Linked DNA regions of Caenorhabditis elegans. The protein of the gene in region 4 interacts with the protein of the main gene of each other region in a pairwise test. Each region holds a gene or a part of one and is shown on either strand. Other genes may lie near its edges.

What was found.
Region 1: the proteins of unc-16 (region 4) and twnk-1 interact in a two-hybrid assay, tested with the Caenorhabditis elegans proteins (one large-scale study listed by BioGRID).
Region 2: the proteins of unc-16 (region 4) and cap-2 interact in a two-hybrid assay, tested with the Caenorhabditis elegans proteins (one large-scale study listed by BioGRID).
Region 3: the proteins of unc-16 (region 4) and gei-4 interact in a two-hybrid assay, tested with the Caenorhabditis elegans proteins (one large-scale study listed by BioGRID).

The regions. Positions count from the first base shown.
Region 1 is NC_003284.9:5,791,541-5,797,581, forward strand, and holds twnk-1 (SF4 helicase domain-containing protein), read left to right. Parts: upstream 1-1,790; coding exon 1,791-1,954; intron 1,955-2,057; exon of another isoform or gene 2,058-2,196; intron 2,197-2,265; exon of another isoform or gene 2,266-2,386; intron 2,387-2,455; coding exon 2,456-2,525; intron 2,526-2,570; coding exon 2,571-2,851; intron 2,852-2,897; coding exon 2,898-3,173; intron 3,174-3,309; coding exon 3,310-3,382; intron 3,383-3,430; coding exon 3,431-3,541; intron 3,542-3,591; coding exon 3,592-3,726; intron 3,727-3,782; coding exon 3,783-3,856; coding exon of another isoform or gene 3,857-3,883; intron 3,884-3,946; coding exon 3,947-4,000; intron 4,001-4,014; exon of another isoform or gene 4,015-4,158; intron 4,159-4,388; coding exon 4,389-4,521; intron 4,522-4,566; coding exon 4,567-4,692; intron 4,693-5,153; coding exon 5,154-5,366; intron 5,367-5,412; coding exon 5,413-5,517; downstream 5,518-6,041. Other genes in the region: F46G11.4 (Inner membrane protein), read right to left, coding at 5,881-5,946, 6,009-6,041.
Region 2 is NC_003280.10:10,867,584-10,871,338, forward strand, and holds cap-2 (F-actin-capping protein subunit beta), read left to right. Parts: upstream 1-1,612; 5' UTR 1,613-1,647; coding exon 1,648-1,650; intron 1,651-1,698; coding exon 1,699-1,816; intron 1,817-1,865; coding exon 1,866-1,959; intron 1,960-2,007; coding exon 2,008-2,121; intron 2,122-2,173; coding exon 2,174-2,324; intron 2,325-2,376; coding exon 2,377-2,481; intron 2,482-2,526; coding exon 2,527-2,652; intron 2,653-2,730; coding exon 2,731-2,832; 3' UTR 2,833-3,244; downstream 3,245-3,755. Other genes in the region: gmps-1 (putative GMP synthase [glutamine-hydrolyzing]), read right to left, coding at 755-808; cyn-4 (Peptidyl-prolyl cis-trans isomerase 4), read right to left, coding at 3,246-3,451, 3,501-3,755. UniProt on the Caenorhabditis elegans protein: F-actin-capping proteins bind in a Ca(2+)-independent manner to the fast growing ends of actin filaments (barbed end) thereby blocking the exchange of subunits at these ends.
Region 3 is NC_003281.10:343,800-350,063, forward strand, and holds gei-4 (BZIP domain-containing protein), read right to left. Parts: upstream 4,629-6,264; 5' UTR 4,602-4,628; coding exon 4,419-4,601; intron 4,366-4,418; coding exon 4,246-4,365; intron 4,111-4,245; coding exon 4,042-4,110; coding exon of another isoform or gene 3,889-4,041; intron 3,639-3,888; coding exon 3,240-3,638; intron 3,085-3,239; coding exon of another isoform or gene 3,070-3,084; coding exon 2,969-3,069; intron 2,710-2,968; coding exon 2,490-2,709; intron 2,311-2,489; coding exon 2,224-2,310; intron 2,060-2,223; coding exon 1,667-2,059; intron 1,284-1,666; coding exon of another isoform or gene 1,275-1,283; coding exon 1,140-1,274; 3' UTR 507-1,139; downstream 1-506.
Region 4 is NC_003281.10:9,544,467-9,549,302, forward strand, and holds the start of unc-16 (JNK-interacting protein), read left to right. Parts: upstream 1-1,828; 5' UTR 1,829-1,892; coding exon 1,893-1,958; intron 1,959-2,204; coding exon 2,205-2,333; intron 2,334-2,913; coding exon 2,914-3,193; intron 3,194-3,284; coding exon 3,285-3,465; intron 3,466-3,530; coding exon of another isoform or gene 3,531-3,587; intron 3,588-4,099; coding exon 4,100-4,221; intron 4,222-4,324; coding exon of another isoform or gene 4,325-4,355; intron 4,356-4,705; coding exon 4,706-4,836. Other genes in the region: ZK1098.9 (uncharacterized protein), read left to right, coding at 1-126, 491-612; ZK1098.12 (DUF2975 domain-containing protein), read left to right, coding at 776-808, 859-933, 977-1,078, 1,127-1,255, 1,304-1,402. UniProt on the Caenorhabditis elegans protein: The JNK-interacting protein (JIP) group of scaffold proteins selectively mediates JNK signaling by aggregating specific components of the MAPK cascade to form a functional JNK signaling module.

The DNA.
Region 1 (6,041 bases), on a different chromosome or scaffold from region 4:
GTAATTGAGCTTCCTTCTCTTATCCCATTCGACCCCACCCCCATCATTCCGTCCTATGAGACATTTTCTTGTCTTAGTCTTTAGACGACAACTGGCAACTATTCCCTAGTTTTTTTTTCCAATTTTAGATCTCCTTGAAACATCTTTTTTTATTTTTTCCAGGTACCTTGTCAAAAACCATTAGCAAACTGCAGCTCAAAACCATGGAAGACGAAGTAAGTCTTAGAAATGGTACTGTATTTTTCAAATTTTTTTCAGCTCGACTCGGATCTCTACGATCGTGTGAGCTATTTGAATTTGATGGACAAAATCGATACTCGGAAGAAGACATCGAAAGTGGGAAAGTTCCGCGATGAGTAAGTCCAGTTTTTGTCATGTTTTCCAGAAACATGCACATAAGTGACTTCCGGGAGAAGAAGTCTTTTTTGTTTGCTTAATAGTGTGCCAAGCAGTTGTCATATTCGGTTTTCATGGAAGTTTCGGTTTTCACGTTTTTTAATGATGTTGTGCTGTTTTTATATTCATTGGTTGATAGTTTCTGATTTTGAAATTTTGTTTGAAAATTTCCAAAATGTGAATCTGTAACTGTGAGGAAGTATAATTTTAATTTGTATTCCCCCAGAATATACTTTTTCAAAAAATACTGTTGCCTCAGAAAATAGCCAAACCTAACAAAAGTAAACCGGTTCACTTCGTTCCAAAAAAAATTTATTTTTCGTAATATCTAAAGATATATAAGACGAGAAGAGGAGAAAAACAATGAAAGCACTTGGGGCACCTCGATTTAGTGAGCCACCAAAAATCCAGGAAGCCTTTAACGCTGCCCCAACATAAAAGCGAGTCTGAACGAGGAGGTTGAGGAGGAGAAGCAGCACACAAAAAAGTCGAAGATAGCTTTCTATTTAAGAGCATTTTTGCTCCACCAAACCTTCACTCAACCATAGGATTATTGCTCGAAAAAGTGAGGTGTACGGCGTCGGTGCCCCCGCCAACCTTTTTTCTCTCTCGCCCCGTTGCTCCGAACCACCCCGATTAACCCGAGGTCAATTTCACTTGCACTTGAATTGATTCGATCCGAACTCTGATTCAAGTTGCAACTTACTTGTCTATTTCATTTGCTGGTTTTTTCAAATCTATTACTGTACAATGCATCGCTCAAAGTCCCGACCGGTATCTAGGATGTCAAAAAAATCGTATTTATATTCAAGCTCAGACGAAGATAATGGGTATCCAGTCGGTATGTCTTTAAGCATTCTATTTGCGTTTCCCTTGTGCTAATATGCTTTTAAAAAATTTGGAAACGGATGCAGTTTTTTTGTTGGAAAACACCTGAAATTTTCCCGAATTACTAGTTCCGCCACCATGTTTTTATTTTTACACCGCGCAGACTTGTCGAATCTAACAACTTTTGCCAAAACGTCTCTAGCCAGCAATTGTGAGGGCTCCTGCCAAATAAGCTGTGTAATTGTCGAATATCATAAAGAATGGGGGCCAAAGGACGAGCACAATAGCATTTTTTAGGGTGGGGGGAACTATTATTGTTTGCGGGGTGCCTCTCCTGCGCATTTTTCTGTTTTGTACCCATCGTGACTGGTTTGTAAACATCAGAACCTTTCACTTCTGGCACTTTTTCCGGCTGCTCAAGTTCCTGGCACCCCATTCATTCAGCTTTTCCCCCACTTCTAATAATATCGCGTCGAATTCTAGAAAATCAGTTCCATCAAGCACCATCCTCGTCCAGTAGTGGATTTTTACCACCATTGAACTCTAAAGCAGTGTCATGGATTGATATGGATGACTATACAATTCTGCCAAGCCCCGACGAAGCTCCATTTGATCACAGCGACGACGAATATTTCACCGGAAGACGACTACGGCAGAGAAAAGCACCCCGGACGGGAAGATCGGTGACAGCGTCTGAATCGATGAATCAGATTGCAGACTTTGATTTCAGGTTTAGAAAGTGTTGAGTGTTGCATCCTGTGCTTATGTTAATCTTATTTAATTTCACATACGCTTTTTTTGAATATTGATGAAATCGTTTTTACCGAGCTCAAGCAAAATTGAATGCAAAATTGAATCTTAATTTTGAAGGCTCTAAAAGAGGGTGTTAACTTATAAGATGGATTTCAAAAAGCAAATTCCATCGTAAAAGTTTTTTGAACATTTTGCAAAAGAGTTGATATTAGGATTATTGCTGTAAGTTGCATATCTCTCGCTTTTTGTTCATTATTTAGATATAATTGCAGTTACCAATCTTAGTTTAGCCATATTTTTAGATCGTTTGAGCCCCCCTCGAAATATTTGAAAAGTATTCAAAAGGTCTTATTACGTAATTTGACACTTGGATTCATTTTCAGTCGAGTATCTTCGATATGAACTTTAATTGAAATATGAACATAATTTTTGACTGAGCTCAATTTAACATAAATAAATTCATTTGGTTCGTTTTCAGTTCTGACGCGCCTTCTCCAAGACTTGACGCTTCAGAAGCCATGAGTGCTCCTCCAGATCCGGATATCAAGGTTCGAATTTTTTTTCACTCCCAAAAAAGCTTTTTCCGTTTTCAGCGCTACTGGGACAGCAGTTTAGACATAACTGATCTGAGTGGCCACGATTTCACTATTTTCAAGCAACTCCAAGGGATGCTTGGAATTGAGAACATTTCATTCGAAACTCTTGCTCGTTTCAACGTTCGTGTCCAAACCGACACCTATGGTCAACCTGCCATTCTTTTTCCACGGTATCGTGGAATGACTTCCCGGCTACGCATTCCAATGGGTTTGAAGTTGATCCGTAAAGTTGGAGACAGAATGGAAAAGGAGAACTATCCACTGCCAGATGAAACTTCGTAAGTAGAAATTCCGATGTCTTCCTTCATAGTTACCCATTTCCAGCGTTCGCCAAAAGTTCAATGGAGTTTTCGGGCTTCATATGGCAACTCTGTCAGATCGAAGTGTAGTCATTACCACAAATGAGCGTGATGCTTTGGCGATCTACGAAGCCACCAAAGCTCTGGTATTTGCTCTACCACATGGAGAAATTTTGGATCCACTCGTGCTTCCGTATCTGGAGGAATTTGACAAGATCTATCTGTGGTTCCCGGTTCAGCATGTCAGTTATGCCAAAGACTGGGGAAGTGCTTTGAACACCCTCAAATGTCTTCTTGTGAAGTGAGTTTATGGTATTCAGTAGGACTATCATGGAAGGCGCGGATTGCGGCGTAAGACAGGTGGCGTTCCGGAGCCTGCTTGGAAGCCCTAGTATATAGAGAACGTTCGGAAAACAAAACCAAAAGAGTAAGTTCAGAAACGAAGAACGCCCAATTGAATTGGTTCGTAATGGTGATCATCGGCTCATTCGGAACTCACTATCTAACTCGGTACTGTTGCCATTTTGTTCTTGTTTTTTTTCAACTTTCATAGTTTAGGTGGTTCGAATGAGAGAGCGTGGTTTCCGTTCAATGACAGATTTAGACATGCGTGAAGGAATCCGTTCAGACCTTCTCAACTCGACAAATCGCGTTGTTGGATTTGGACAAGTAAGACGAAAGGAAAAAAGATAAATTTCGGTCTAAATAATTTGTTTCAGTGGAAACGATTTGCTGTTTTGAATAAGTATCTTGGCGGGCTTCGGCCAGGGGAGATGACAGTTTTAACCGGAGGAACCGGCAACGGAAAAACTACATTTTTATGTGAATACTCATTGGATCTATTTACTCAAGGGGTATTTTAAATTTTAGCATTAGCTGAGTTTTTCTAATATCTCTGGTTTAATTCTAGGTGCGCACGCTGTTCTGCAGTTTCGAGATGCCTGAAAAGAAGATCCTCCATTGGATGCTTGTGCAATACGCTGGGTATGATGATCTAGTGTTTTTTCTATTGTTATTCTATTTTATTTTTCAATGGCTTGCAACTTTTTAACTAACATTTGTTTTTGTCTGCAGTCCTTCACATCTTCGAAGCCTCGCGCGCACTAACTCATATAAAAATGGCATCAAGTAAGAATATTTAGAAGTATTAGGATCTATCTGGAATAGTTTTTGTTTTTTCTAAATTGGTTTTTGAATATAATAAGTGAATCAAAAACTATTTCAATAATTTCCTTATGAAACCAGTAGCCAACTAGACCTGTTATTTATTTTATTTTACCACCTCACAGTTTTGAGTTGTAGAACATCTTCATTTCTCATTCACTGCTCATTTTGGTTACTAGCTAGTGCTTTTCGTGGTGCGCGAGGCAATTGTCGATTATCTTGAAAGTGTGTTTTTGCACGGTAGTTTGTTCAAGGAAACGGAAATGGGTATGTGGATGAGTGTTGGCATGCTTATTCTGATTGTGCCCAGACATCCGTAGCCCATACACAACTCCCAATCAATCTGGTTCAGACTTCCGCTGCATCGAGTAGAGTATAGCAACTCGATAAATTCATGGTTGGATAGATTCGAGAGATCGAGTTCGGCGTTGACAATGCTTGACTCCGAAGAGTTCATGGAGAAGTCCATAAATGAAATAGTCAGAGTAATAATAGTGGAGCAGGGTTTGAATCATAAAATACCATTTTAGGCAATTCGTATTCACGTTGAAAACAGTGGTATCCAACATGTTGTCATCGATAATCTCCAGTTTTTGATTAACCAAGGAATGATGGCAGATGAGAAGTCAAGTGGCCTTGATAGATTCCACCTTCAGGTTATTTCTTTTTACATCAACTTACAGTTTTGGTTCATAAACTAACATTACAAGAAATGGGAACATTTGGTTTAGTAGGAGAAAAACTACAGTGCGCCCAATTGCTGGGACCCCCCTTCCATTTGAGCGGTTTAGGGCATTTTGGAACTTTTTAATAGGAAAATAATATGGGAATCGGATTCAGCATTACAAAAAACCTCTGTGTCAACAATTGTATTCGGATATCCCAAAAATTGGGAGCAAAATGGCAAAAAGTTGAAAAATCGACCGCCCAACTGCTATCAAGAGGGTGTTTTTCTGGACCTCGTAAATATTATGACACTTCTCCAAAAAAACATTAACCAGTTTGTTGAGTATCATTACAAAATTTGTTCATATTTTGAAAATATATGTACATGCAAAAACCCAAAACCCTTAGTCCTCCTCTAAACATATAAATCTTCTTGAACCTTCGTTTTCAGGATCGATTTGTCGGATACATGCGTCAACTTGCTACTCAGAATCAAATTCACATCACTATGGTTGTTCATCCCAGAAAAACTGACGGTGATACTGAAATTGATGTGCAACACTTTGGAGGTTCCGCCAGAGTCACCCAGGAAGCTGATAATGTCATTGCTATTCAGCGGAAGCGTGATGATCGTGACCGTTCCAAGTTCCGAAAATTCTTATACGTAAGCTTCTAGTAGAATGATATGACCATCCAGGATTCTATTACAGATTCTGAAAAACCGCTACTATGGCCGACGAGTGGAGAGCGATCAACTTGAGATGGTTTTCAACCCATCCACCTATTCTCATACAGTTGTAGAGTTTCCAAAGTAAAATTTTCTTCTTAATCAAATTAATTTTACAATTTCTCCAAGTTTTTCGAGTGTCATTATTCAGTTCTATTTTTTAAATATATTTTTCTGCTTTTTCCTTTCTCCCTATTACGCTGATACTTGATGAAGAAATATACCTTTTCTCCTGACCCATTTCATCCACCTTCTCCCTCCGTAGGTCACATATTATTCTGACGTCTTTCCCTATTTTGTCCGATCTCGAAAACACTACCGCGAAAACACAAAGCTTCTGTAGTTTGCAAATAAATAAATTTTTCATTACTCGACGATGAGAATAAAAAAATGTTGAATGAAAGCGAAATTGGAAATCAAGAATCGAAAACAAAAAATTAATCAAAATTTGTCACATGTTTTTTCGTGGAGGTGCAGGATGAGGCGGAGCAGATGTGGGAAGTATCCGAATTTGTGGCTGTAATTTTTTTTTGTAAAAAATTAAAGGTTTTCTTTTAAATATTAACAACTTGCACTTACAATTGGAACATAATCACAGACGGTTTCATTGTT
Region 2 (3,755 bases), on a different chromosome or scaffold from region 4:
CTTGGAAAAATTGCAAAATTTTTCAACTAGACCCTAGTTTCCTAGTTTTCCAGCATTTTAGTGTTCGGCTGGGAGAATATAACTACGATTTCGTCGAGGAGAATTTTCTACCAAGAAAATATATTTTCCAGTGAAAAACGCTTATCCCATGAGAAAAACCAAGGAATTCTCACTGAAAATTGTGATAAATAAGACAAAAACTGCCAACAAATATTAAAATATACTCGGTTTTTAGACGAAAACTATCAAGAAACGGCGCAGTAATCCTGAAAATCAGATAGAAAGTTCTAGAAAAGCCGGTATAATCTGAACTCCACGTCAATTAGGTCACCTAGTTTCGATATATCACTGGATTAACGTGAACATTTTTATTTATTTAAAAAGAAAACCCTTCAGGTTACAGGAAAATTAGCTTTTTTTCGCGAAAAAACATGTAATTTGAGCGCCGAAACATATGGTGGAACCCCCCTTGAACAGAAAAGTCGGCATGTGGCTTTAGTGACAACTGATCTTTTGTCTTCAGAGGAAGATATTGTGATTCTAGAGAACTTTGAACTATTTGGAGTCGGAAAAAACAGAATGTAGTTGCGGAGAATGCAATAAAATTGCAATTATTTCTTTTCTTTTATAGTGACGATTTCAGGGAAAATTGTAAAAGCCCTTTGCAGCGATAAAATAATTAAATTCAACGAAAATTCAAAAAAGAAATCCATTAGCAAAGCGGCAAGATCAAAAGAAAAGTACAAGTTCTGACCGTGGAATGTTGACTGTCCTCGTTGATGTCCAACATTGAACTCGATCTTTTCATAGTATGCTCACTGACTTTCGAGACGGCCTTTGTTCTTTTTGCACGCTGAAGCTAGGTTATAATGATTTGAAGTCAATGGAAAGTGGAATTTTTTGGCAATTTATAATGAAAACCTCCTTAAAACGCACGTTTAAACGTTGAAAATGCTTTTTTTCGTTTTTTAACGTTGAAAACCAAATCGGGAGCCAATTTACAGAAATGTGCGCGAATTTTCACCCAGTTTTTCAAAATTTTCACATTTAAATACTCACTTCAGATGGAAGGTTGCGGCAGTGACGTTTACTCTGACGCGCTCCAATTTTGACTCGTTTTGGCTGCAATTACTGAAATAACAAAATTTAGTGGATTCGGTGTTTTCTCGGAGATGAAGCGATGAGAATGTACAGAACACGGATAAACTTGCGATGAAAATTTCATGTCAATTAATTTAAAATTAATTTTTTCGGTTTATTAACATAAAAATTGACGGAAAAAACTTAAATTTAAAAGCTCGAAGAAAAAAACAAAAATTTGAAGAACTCTGGCGAAACGCCAAAAGCTCGCGGGTCTCGCCGCGATTTGCCGACGAGAGTGACTATGGGTACGGTGGAGGGACGAGAGAGTGAGAGAAACGGAGTGTAAAATCAATGAAGTGGTCGCTCCGTTTCGCAACTTTCCTGCTTTCTAATGGCTTTTAAAATATATTTTTGCGAAATTTAATCTTATTTGTGAACTAAAAAATCATTACCCAATCGTTTAGAGTCTTTTTATGTTTTTAATAGGTTGTAACGACTTAAAATCTGACATAAAAGTTTATTGTTTCAGGGAGCACACCCACATCCGGCTCGAAACTATCAAAAATGGTATTTTAATAAATATTTTAAAAACAATTTATAATAAATATTTACCAGGGAGAACAACAGCTCGATTGTGCCCTCGACTTGATGCGAAGACTTCCTCCACAACACTGCGACAAGAATTTGACGGACCTCATCGATCTGTGCCCTCATCTTGTTGATGATCTTCTCAGTATGTTTCCTTTTTAACTAATTTAAAAAAATTCGCTTGATGGTTTTAGGCACTATCGATCAACCGCTGAAAATCGCCGCGGACCGTGAGACCGGCAAACAGTATTTGCTTTGTGACTACAATCGAGATGGCGATAGCTACAGGTATGAGTCATTTTATTTGAAATCTATCGATTTTTTCTGATAATTCAGATCACCATGGAGTAATACCTATGATCCACCACTCGAGGATGGACAATTGCCATCGGAAAAGCGCAGAAAAATGGAAATCGAGGCAAATGCCGCTTTTGAGTCATACCGTGATTTGTAAGTTGACAGAAAAATCATATATTTGCTCATAAATAATAATAATTTCCAGATACTTCGAGGGAGGCGTCTCATCAGTTTACTTCTGGGACTTGGATAATGGAGGTTTCGCCGGAATTGTGCTCATCAAGAAAGAGGGAGACGGAGCCAAAAATATAACAGGATGTTGGGATTCTATTCACGTTATTGAGATCACGGAAAGAGTTGGTTCAAAAACTGTTGAAGAGTTTTTTTTTTTAATTTATAATTTTCCAGGCACGCCAGGCTCACTACAAGCTCACCTCCACTATCATGCTGTGGCTGCAGACAAACAAAAGCTCCAGCGGTGTGATGAACCTCGGTGGCTCCCTTACAAGACAGGTTTTGGTTTCGAGTTGTGAATATATTTAAAAAGAAATATTATAGCATGAGATGGATGCACCAATCAACGATCAGAACACACACTTGGCTAATATGGGACGAATGATTGAGGATCAGGAGTCGAAAATGCGTCTGACGATCAATGAGATATACTTTGGAAAGACGAAGAAGGTAAGCAAAATGCAAATTTATTATATGAAAAAAGTTTCATTTTTAAAAAGTACAATTTTCGAAAAAAATATTTTCCAGGTGATGTCGGATCTCCGTTCAACAGAGAAGCAGAGTGAGCTCGAGAAGCAAGATGAGATCGTTCGCGAGTTGAACAACGCCATGGCTAACCGCGGAAACTGAGTGATCTATCTACATTTGCAGCTCAAAATCTCTCATTTTAATGCTTTATTTGCGAGTTTTGTATATTTATCTACCATAATACCAGCTTGTTTCTTCTTTTAAAACCTTTTTTCATTGCCTTTTCTCGAGTGTAAACTTTTTTTCTAGAATTATTAAAATCTCTTTTCCCACAATTTCTCCTCGCTCCAAAGTGTATGTGCTATGGCTTTTCCACAATTTATTACCAAAATGCCTTGATGTTCCTTCCGAGAAGAGCTTGAGCTTTTCCTGGACCATTTTCGTTCTAGGTGCTCGTTCGACTGTTTTGTATTTTGCAATGTAAATTATCCTCTTTAAGATTACTTTTCATTTCAATTATATTTTCGATGAAAGTATTTTATTCCTTAAATTTAAAAAAAAAGAGAGGGTCTTCATCACCACTTTGAGAAATCTCCAAGGCCTGCTCTTGCAAATTTAGTTTTCTTTGCGGCCTCCAAGGGTACATCTTCCATTTTTCCTTGTCGTTTATTCACAGCTGCGGCCGACTTCATGTACTTGCCGACTCCAGTTCCAACTGCTTCTGGTTTTGTTGCAGTTTCTTTAGCTTTTTTATTTGCTAATGAAGCTGCGTCCTTAGAAGCTGAAAATAGATATCATTAGTTTTAAAATTAGTAATAGAATTAAGAAACTTTTCTTCAAAATCTCTGCTCTCTCAGCTTGAACTTCTTTCTCAGCTTCTTCAAATGGATCCACAAATACTTCAGCTCTCATAATAACAACTGAAACCATCGGAACATCAGTTCCCTCTTCAGTTTCCAACTTTTCAATCGTCGTTAGTGTATCCTGTCCTCCAACAAGTCTCCCAAAAATTGTGTGCTTTCTGTCCAAATACTTGCACGGCCGGAATGTAATGAAGAATTGTGATCCGTTGGTGTTAGAGCCCT
Region 3 (6,264 bases), 9.2 Mb from region 4:
GCGCTTGCCCACTGCCACTTTTTTATGGATTTTCCCCAGTTGTCATGAGAATTTTCATATTTTCGGGGTATTTGATAAACAAAATACGTATTTTCTGAAAATAAAAGCTAATTATAAACTCTCGAGAGACCCCGAGTGTAAGGTGCAATTATCGGGATGGAAAATTGAGGGATTTCCTCTCTTCCCAGTGCGAACAGCAAGAAAATTATTATTTTCCGCAAGAAATAGAATTTCGTATTAAATATTTACAACTGAATGCTCTTTTCATGGTTTATTGAGCTTTTTAATTGGATTTCTGGAGAAAATTGGTTGCCAAATATTTAGCAGACCCAACTTTGGTCTGCTAAATAATTTTTCTTGGGTCTGCTAAATATTTAGCAGACCCAATTTGGCTTGCCACGTGGCAAATATCGATTTTTTTCTATTACAATTTTTGTAAAAGAAAGTAGATAAACGCTGAAAAAAACACGCTAAAAAAAGGAATTTTCAAATCGGAAACTCAGGAATAAACTTCAATTTTTATTCTAATTAATCGTCAATATTCAAATTCGACGAAAATTTTCAGATTACCAAATATTTGGAAATTTGGAGAGGATTTTGTGTGGGAGAGGGATGGGGATAGAGTATAAGAATTTCGAGACGCAGGGTGAATATTTTCTTTAAAACAAGAAATGGGGGAAAAAAAGGATAATGTAAAAATAACATGGATTTTCAGGTAGTTCTAGATGGGGGTGGGTTTAAGGCAGATTTCACGGTAGCGCAGGGTTTGTTCGGATATTTGAGAGGAGGTTCTTGAGAATGAGAATATCTGGAAATTATTGGTAATGGGGGTTTCAGAAAAATGAAACAAAAAATTGGGTCACAGTGAAAATTAGAAATGGAAAGTTGAATAAAACGTTAAAAAATTAACAATTAAGAGGAAGAAAACTTATTTTTTGGGGCTTTTTTTGCAAACTTTTTTCAATTTTTAGTGGTTTTTTTTGTTGAATTTTTTGATTAAAAAAAGATAAAAAACTACGCGATTTTCAGTAAATAATACAGATGCAATTTTCAGAGGAAAGAAAAACAATGGACAAAGAAGAAGAAAAAAGAACAGAAAGAGAAGATTTGAAAAAAAAAGAACAGGAATTATTATATTATTAGGTTCTATAAGGATTGTTCAATATTTGTTGAGACTGTCCCTGCTGCTGCTGCTGGCCTTGTTGCTGTTGTCCCTGATTTTGGATAATCATGCCAGAAGTGTAGATGTTCTGAGGAATCGATTGGGACGACTGCTGAAAATCCTAAAGTTTGATTAGTTGGATGATTCTAGAATTGGGGAGATTTGAGTAAAAATCAATTTTTTTTTTGAAATTTGGGTCTGCTAAATATTTAGCATACCAACTTTGGGTCTGCTAAATATTTAGCAGACCAACTTTGGGTCTGCTAAATATTTAGCATACCCACTTTGGGTCTGCTAAATATTTAGCATACCCACTTTGGGTCTGCTAAATATTTAGCATACCCACTTTGGGTCTGCTAAATATTTAGCATACCAACTTCGGGCCTGCTAAATATTTAGCATACCAACTTTGGGTCTGCTAAATAGTTAGCATACCCAACCTCGAGTTTTATAGCAAAATTCCGCTCAAAAACTCATTTTTTCCTAGTTTTCATCGATATTCACCTGGTGTGACACCTGAATCTGCTGCTGTTGCATGTGTCCTTGATGGAGCACCTGGTGCTGTCCAATCCCATTGTTTCCCTGATTTCCAACCAACTGTTGGTGCTGTTGCTGACCATTCGAGATTATATAGGCCTGTGGCGGTGGTGTAACCGAGCGTGGCGTTCCCGACGACTGATTCGCGCGTTGTCGGAGAAGGATCTGCTGAGCGTGCTGTGTGCGCTTGACGACGTCACGTTCCAACGAGGAGAGAGCGTCCATATCGTCCTTTTTGGCGGGGGTGCCGGTGCCCATTGTGATGGTTCCAGAGGATCCGACGGCCATCTGTCCGGCGCTGATCATGTCGTCCATCTCGTTGCGACGACGCTTTGGAGTGTAGCGTTTTTGATTGTACGACTGAAAAATTAAAAATTAAAATGTTTTTTTTTTTTTTGAAATTTTGTTTTTCGAAAACACACATGCGCAAAGCCTACACACAACAAGCATTCTCATTCTCAATTTCAGTATCCAAAATTCAAAAAAAAGAAGAAGAAAAATAAAAGAAAAAAGGTTTCACTAACGTCTCCGAGATCGAGATCATGGTCGATTTGCGTGTCAGATTGCTCATGAGAGGGCCAAGACTCTTCTTTCGGTTCTTGTTTCGCGACCTACAACAAAATTTAGGAGTCTGAGATCTCGGAGAGTTGGGGAAGAAACCCGGGGTTTTTTTTTGGATTCGCTAGCGCAAATTTTCAAATTTTTCGTGCTCAAAAATAACTAAAAGTCATCGCAAGACCCTCTCTGTCTCTCGTTGGTGATTGATTAGTTGTAGCAAAAATATATTCACCTTTCTCTGATCAGGCGTCATTCGCTGGTAGCGAAGACGTGCCGCTTCGGCTCGTTTCGCGTTTCGGACCACAATCTGCTGAGCACGATCCAGTGCTTCTCCGTTGATACGGCCTATAGGCATGGCGAGCAGCATCTCTTCTTCCATACGACGGCGGCGGAACGCTTCTGTCCTTCGTTGATTGTAGACGCGCTTCTCGTCATCGTTCATTCGATGGTATCTGGAAATTTGGAGGTTTTTTGATCGAAAATGTGTGGAAACTCAGGTGAATTTCGCAATTGTTGGGTCTGCTAAATATTTAGCAGACCAAAGATGGGTATGCTAAATATTTAGCAGACCCAAATAAATATTTAGCAGACCAAAGTTGGGTATGCTAAATATTTAGCAGACCCATTCTGAATATTTAGCAGACCCAAGTTTGGTATGGTAAATATTTAGCAGACCCAAGCTATTCTGATTCCCCCGAATCTCTTCCTTACCGTTGACGAGCCGCCTCCGCTTTTTTCGCATTCTGCGTCTTGATGTGCAACCGGACAGCCTCGTCGTCCTTCTGTGGATCTCCTGTAGCCATTCCACATGCCTGAAACTCCGATTTCTGGAATGTTACGTCACGGTAGCAGCGGAAAAATTACAAATTTTGTGTGTTAGGGAGGAGAGATTTTACCAAAAATAGATTTTCACCCAATTAAATTTTCCTCTTCTCCGCTAATTTTCCAGATTTTCTGCTAGAATTCAATGTTCTATATTCACCTTAATCGCGCTCATCGCGTTCTGCATCTGCCGCATACGTCTCCGCGTATTGTGCGCCCGGCGCTCTTCCGGCGTCATTCTAGCGTAACGTGTACGGGCGGCCTCTGCCCACTTGGCCCGCATTCTCTTCTCTCTGAGCTGTTCGGTGATGTCCGGATCCTCTTGAATGTCATTTGTCTCCCGCAAAATCGATTCGAGCTCCTCCATCTCCTTCTCACGTTGCCGTTTTCGCTTCTGCGCCAACGTTCTTTTCAGGTTTAACTCTCGTTTCTCTTCGTTTGATAGTCGGTGATAACGCATTCGGGCGGCTTCTGCCTGTCGCGCCTTCTTTACTCGATCCTTCTCGCCTTTGTCGGGTGACGAGGAGAGTTTAACATTCATTCCTTCTACTTGTAGGTCCTGAAATGTTTCTGAGGTGTGCTCGGTGAGTTCGCTGCGTGATTTCATTCAATTCGTGTTTTCAGTGTGTTGAAACTTAAAATTCGCATTAAAACTCGAGAAATGGACAAATTCTGCTCGATTTCGCATCTTGGGTCTGCTAAATATTTAGCATACCCAACTTGGGCCTGCTAAATATTTAGCATACCCACCTTTGGTCTGCTAATTATTTAGCAGACCATAGTTGCAAAACTAAGCAAGTTCCAGTAACTTATCGACTTTTTGAGCAAATTTTTTGAAAAATCCGCTCAAATGCGAAAATCCACGCGGATTTCGAGCTGCAAAATTCAAAATTCCTTGAAAAAATCACTGAATAACACGAAATTCTCCCCAAAAAAAAACAAAGAAAAAACAACGAATTTACCACATCTCCTACTTTCAACTGAGGTATTTGTTGATTGTATGATCCAACTGATTGTTGTATTGAAGACATCTATAAAATAAATCACGATTCACAAACACAACCACAATTACGATAGAATTTACGGTAAAAAATGAGGAAAATCGAGATTTTTCGAGATTTCCGCCATTTTTTTAAGCCAAATCGCACGATTTTTACGATTTTTACCTGAACTGGCTGCTGATTATTCCACGACGTTGATGTTGAAGGTGTCGTACTGTCGATAAAATAAGCGTCAAGCATATTAACTAAACTCTTCTCTTCTCCCATCCGCCGCTGAGGTGTTTGCTGAAATTAAATAAAATTGAACATTTTCACTCGATTTCCTGAAAATCCCCTACCGTCACTGAATTAGGTATAAAAGTTGCGGAATTAGAGGAATGAAAATTGTTCGCATTTGAATTTGAATACGTCGTCGGCTGATAGGAGTTCTGTTGAAATTGCGATATTCCGTGTAGCTGCTGATTTTGATTACCGCCCGAGCGGGGATCCGAACTGTATGTGTATTGTATATTCTGCTGCATTTTTTATTATTTTTTGTGTTTCCGAGCCTGAAAAAATTGGAATTTTAGGTTTTTAAGCTAGTTTCCGATGAGAATTGCGATTTAATAAGGATATAATTGTGCTGGAAACAATTTTAATCACTTGAAAAATTAATTTTTTGAAGAAAAACCAAGGAAAACCAGGAAAACCAAAGAAAAATAAGAAATTAAATGGAGAAAGTGAGAAAAATAGAGAAGCAGATAAGTTTCGAATTCAAATTTGCCGGAGTGTCACTGGAGCGCACTTGCCTCCTTCTCAATTTTTCGAATTTCATAAGACTAGAATAATGAAAACACTGCTTAAAATGACTGGAACAAAAGAAGAATACATGAATTTTGATTGAAAAATTGAAAAATAAAATTGAAAACAACGTATCTCACTGCAAAAGCTTAAAAAATTCTTATTATAGTCCCAGCATGTACTAATTTCGACGGAATTGCGCCAAATTTTCACTGATCCACGTGGAATTTTCTGAATTTTACTGAAAATGCAAAAATCTTAGTTTCTTTTCGTGTTGGAGCTGTGTGCACAGGTGCCCAGGTGCACTGCTTGAACATGGTGGCCGTGAAAGAGAAAACTCGGTCAGTCCCTCTAAATCCTGCGGAAAAGGTCCTGCTGATCCACTTTTAAGCTAGTTTCAGCAAATCCAGAGGTATTTTGGGTTCCAGAGGCAGAGTTAGCATTCTAGAAGAGCAATGAATTTTGGTGGCCGACCTTTTATATCCGCGGTCCCCACGAAAAAGTCTCAGAGTGTCTCATTTCGGTTTGATCTGCGTAGATCTACAAAAAATGCCGGAGTTGAGGCGCAGAGTTCTCAACTGATTTTGCATGGTTAAGAACTTGCTGACGTCACATTTTTATGGGCCAAAAATTTCCGCATTTTTTTGTAGATCAAACCATAGTAGGACAGCCTGACACCACGAGGGCCCCGTATCCAAGTACCTGAGCCTAAAGCCTAATGTAATGGTTCTAATACCGTCTTCCAATTCCTATCGCTGTGGGTTCTCTGAAAATCCCTCCGAATTTTCCCATTTCACGGCCAAGGCATCAAATCCAACCTGTACCTCTCCGTTTCAAGTCGATTTTTAGAATTCAAATTTGTCCTCTTCGCGCCTAAACCGCCCATGCTCTTCCCATCATCACTGTTAACCACACTATTTTGTTGCCTGCCTGCCTTCTGTCTCTGCGCTCCCAAAATCAGCGGAAAAGAGTGTGTGATGGCGGATGGATGCGGTTGGGGATGGTAAGAAGAAGAAGAAGTGTAGGGAGATGAAGGGAACAAGACGGGGGGCAAAAAGTAGTAGTAGTAGAAGAGGAAGAAGACTAAGAGAAAACGAAACATATACACAAAAGAAGAGGACGATTTGGGGCGCATAGGACGAGAGGGAGGAGAGATTGGAGACGGGCGGGGCATTGTGTACGAGGGGAGGCCGACCGCGACGCGGAGACGCGTTGCACACTCGCATACACAATGCGCGCTGCGGAGAGTCCAAACATCACTAGACACTGTGCCGAGTGGCGGAGATCACGAGACACCCGGCACGAGAGAGCGCGCCCGTCGTGGAGTGTGTGTGCTTAGAGGCCGTGACGACAGCGTATCGATTGTGGAGAGTGCGTGGAGGAGTGCCGAATGAATGGGTAACG
Region 4 (4,836 bases):
TTATTTTGCCATCTAGCATGCTAATGATAGTTTCGGCTGTCTTCGGAGGTATCGGAATCATCACTACAATCGTGTTCGTGATTCTGACAGTTCTTCATTCAAAAAGTGCGGTTTGTAAACCTGCAGGTTAGTTTTTGTTGCGAAATTGTGCAATTTTTACCCAGAAAGTACGGTTCCCGGTCTCGACGCTACAATTGTTAAATTCTGAAAGGTGTGTGCCTTTAAAGTGTACTGTACTTCGAATTTTTAGACTTTTATTAGTTTTTCGATATTTAAATATTTATTTATTTATCTGAAACTATGAAAAATCGATGCAAATTCCATAACAACGAAAATCTGAAATTACAGTACTCTTTAAAGGCGCACACCTCTTTGGATCTATCAAAAACTTTGCCGTATCGAGACCGGGTATCGTATTAGCATGACGAAAATCGCAAAATTATCTGGATAATATAGTAATGCTGAAGAATAAAAATTTGCACATTTTCAGGCAAAGAAGACATGAAAAAACTGAACGGTATCGAAGGAATGCAAACGATCAAAGAAGAATGTGGAGGATCAACTGAAACATCCTCGTCGAAACCGAAGAAAAAAGCCAAGAAAGAAGTCTGATTTTTTTTTTTTGAATAAATTTTAAATTTCTTCGTGAAGACCTTTTCTACGTTCTTTTAATTTATAAAATAGACAACACTTTTAACTTGATTTCCTACTCATTTCGTTAAATTCAAATCTAGCAAAAGGGTTATACGGTTACAAATCTTTGTAAAGTAGAAATATGCTTTTGAACAAACTCATTGTGGCAAATATTGTGAGTTTCTAGTTTTCAGCAGATTATTTGGGAATCTTCTTGGTTTTCAGATGATTAGTGTGACTGTTCTACTCCAGGGAACTATTCCAATGGGGTACGTATCTGGACTCGCGTCATTTTGGATGGTAAATTCTCATCTTAAAGACGTTCCTAACTCTACGTTTTCAGCTCTCAGCAGGTAGCGTTTTCCTCGTACTCGCAGTCATCACATTCATCGCTCTGTTGTTTTTGAGTCGATCTAAATGCATGTTGGCAATGAGCCAAAGAAAAGTAATTCCTAGTTTTAGAAAGTTATTTTACATTCTACAAAAATTTCAGTTGGCCATCTATCATGCTCCAGCACCAGTCACATCGTTGCTTTCGCTCATCTTCTTCATCGTGTACACATTCAGTGCCAAAGCTCCCCACGAGCATACAGCAATTAAAAACTGCATTGTGCTTCTGGATGTAAATTATATTAATCGACATGATTTTCTCTTTAATCCAACAATTCAGGTCGGAGTGGGAATTGTTCTGATGATTTCTCTGGTGCAAGTGCTTCTAGCGTTCCTGAGCCACCCGGAATATCCTGAGGAAGATAATGATGAACGTTGATTTATTTCGTAATAAACTGATTCTTTCGTATTTGTTTTTTCATTGTTTTAACACATGTTGTCACACTAAATTCGTGGTTTTGACGCAAAAATAGCCTAAGAAACACATAATTTTGATAGAGTTTATATAAAAATTCGTAATAGCGGCGCAAATTGAAATTCTATTCATGCAAAACTTCTAATGAAGTGTTTTTATTCTGAATTCAATAGAAAAATAAATTCTGAAGCGCAAAACGGCAAAACCCACTCGACATGCGTGTAGTGCGTGACGCACAAAACGCTCCTCTTCCGCCAATTACCGTATTCTCTCATCCACGAGATTCACACATGCGCCCAGCCTTCTTTTATTGATTTTCTGTCGCCGCGGCGAAGGAGTGGCACTTTATTTACATAGCTTTTTTCATTGCAAAGCACAAAAGCAACATAATTTGTAGAATTGTCTCGTCAACTTGCTCTCACATGGACCAATAATCGACAGAACGACTGAAAAAATGGCTTGCAATTTGTCACCGGTGAATGAGATGGCAGACTCAATTACGAGCAGCACACCGTCTGAGGTAAGTGGTGGCAAATGAACCATTGTTGCAACCGAGTGGCAGCAGCAGCGTCTCCCGATAGTTATCTCGGTTCTCTTATCGTCGCCCCCTACTACTATTCCTCGGCCAGTAAATACCGTTATGTTTCTCTTCCGCACTTCTCTCTTCATTATTGATTGTCGCTAGACACAACAAAACAGTTGGGACGGGTAATAGGAGGATTTTTTTATGCTGCATTCGATATTGATGGGAGAAATGTTATCTCAGATTGTGTACGGCGGCCCCGGCTCACCAGATGAGCATCGAACAATGTCGGATAAAGTGCAGACAATGGCTTCGGCAATTTATCGAGAGTTGGAAACAATGATAAAAGTTCACGGAGAAGATGGCGTGAAAGTGAGTTTTTTCGGAATTTTACTTTAAAATTTATTTAAATGGCTGTTTTCGCAAAAAATGTCCCAAAACAACCGGATTTCATAATAAGACTGATGGTTTTGAAAAAAAAAACGCTTTCTTTCTTCTGAAATCTTCAATTTTGCCAACTTTTCCGTGTCGCAACGGCCGGAAATGAATTTTTATTGAGCATCATTTCGATCTTGCTTATTTTTAGTTGCCTATCGCTTCAAATGTACCAAACTCAACGAAGTAACACGAGATAAACGACAAAATAAGCGAAAATCGAATGAAAATAAATTTCCGACCGCTGTGGCACGGAAAAATATGCAAAATTGTAGATTTTAGCTCATAGTTAAATATTTTTCAAAACATAGAATCGTCATAATTAATTGAAGAACTTTTAAATGATATTTTTACGAAATTCGGACTTTTTAGACCATTTTTTGATCAGAAATTGAAATTCTATGTTTTTACTCTACTTCAATACTAAATTCAGTATGTTAAACCAGTCAGCAGGTAAATTTATGCTAATTTTCTTCTCTCTTTCTCTATTATCATTCAATAAACTAAACATTTTCAGACTCTGATGCCATTGGTTGTAAATGTGCTCGAAGCATTGGATCTTGCCTATTTGGAACGTGACGAGCAGACTGCAGAACTTGAAATGCTCAAAGAGGACAATGAACAGCTTCAGACACAATATGAACGTGAAAAAGCACTTCGAAAGCAGACAGAACAGAAATATATTGAAATAGAAGACACGTTGATTGGTCAGAATAAAGAGTTGGACAAAAAGATAGAGTCACTTGAATCAATAATGAGGATGCTCGAGTTGAAAGCCAAAAATGCCACTGATCACGGTTAGTTTGTTACAGTTAGTTAATTGTCACCTCAATTATTAACTCTTGTGTTTTTCTTGGATAAATTTTTAAAAAAAGTATTATTTTTCAGCCAGTCGTCTGGAAGAACGTGAAGTGGAACAAAAGCTCGAATTCGATCGTCTCCACGAACGATATAATACTCTATTACGAACCCATGTAGATCACATGGAACGTACAAAATATCTAATGGGAAGTGAAAAATTCGAATTAATGCAGAATATGCCATTGCCAAATATGCAACTTCGAAACAAGTAAGTTTAATTTAATTAAATTTAAAAAAGTGATTAATATTTGACTGTTGTGTCGTTGTTTGTAGTTGGTTTCCAATATCACATCGCTTACATAAGAGTGGTGATCAAAGTAATTTGTCATTGTGAGTTTTGTGTCTGGAATTTTTGTTATTTTTCGGGAAGGTTTTTTTATTTTTCAAATTTTTGATTTTTTTTCGATTTGGTTATCCTCCACTTCACTCCAAATTTTGAAGCGCATGAAGAAATAAAAATCACCAATTTTTTTGAATTTATTTTATTTTCTTGATTTTCCAAATTTTTTATCACTGCTCTAAATGTCAGAAAAGAGATCATAATTACTGTTTAAAAAAATTTTCTAAATTTTTATGTTTTCTCCAATTTTGCAAAAAATGCGATATTTGTTGTTAAATTCCCGCAAACGATATAGATCTTTGAAAATGCTTCAATTATATTTATTGTTTAAAAAAATTGTATAAATTCGCTCATTACGATATACAATTTAAAGCAAAATTCCCAATTTTATCATTTTCCAAAAAGAATTTTGTTAGGCAAACACTTCTTCCACCTTTAATAACTTGGTTCGGTCCCCTAAAATCAAAATTTTAATTTTTAAAAGATATTATTTAAATTACAGAATGGGCATGGCTGCTTCTGTGGATGCATCATCAATTCGTGGAGTATCTGATCTTATTTCTGCTCATATGACACAATCAACCACGATGGATGTTAATCTTGCAAATCACATCACAAACGAAGGTGAGTTTTTTACGCGACCCTTCACAAATATGTAAAAATACAAAAAATTCTATATATCGCAAAATTTAGTTTATTTATTTATTTCCGATAATTTTTAACTAACATGAACTCGAATCCTCAACTAACCTTTATTGGTATGCCAGTTTTCTTCCGATTTCCATGCTGCAAAGGTGCGGCACGGGTTTTCGCAACCGCCGCGCGTTTTTTTAAAACTTTTTTTAACAGGAAATTTCCAACGGATTTTTTTCTGTAAATTCACTTATTTTCCAACTGCATTGGTTTATTGCTCAATTTTTAGACCTTTTTGGCTTAAATAAACCAGTTCAGTTGGAAAGAAATTTTAAATTTCCCATTAAAAAACCATTTTTAATTGTATTCCGTACGATGTTTCCTGTTGAAAAGTGAAAAAAAACCCGCTCCGCACCTTTTCTCAATGGAAATTGCAACCCTCATTCTTTTAAATCTTAAAATACTAATTTTCCAGACTGGCAAGACGAATTCTCATCAGATATCGAACCATCACCCAGGGATATTCCACAATCATCTGCTGATGCGTTGACTTCACCAATTACAACCAAAGAGCCGACTCCTAAACGAGAAGCTGCTTCACCGAAA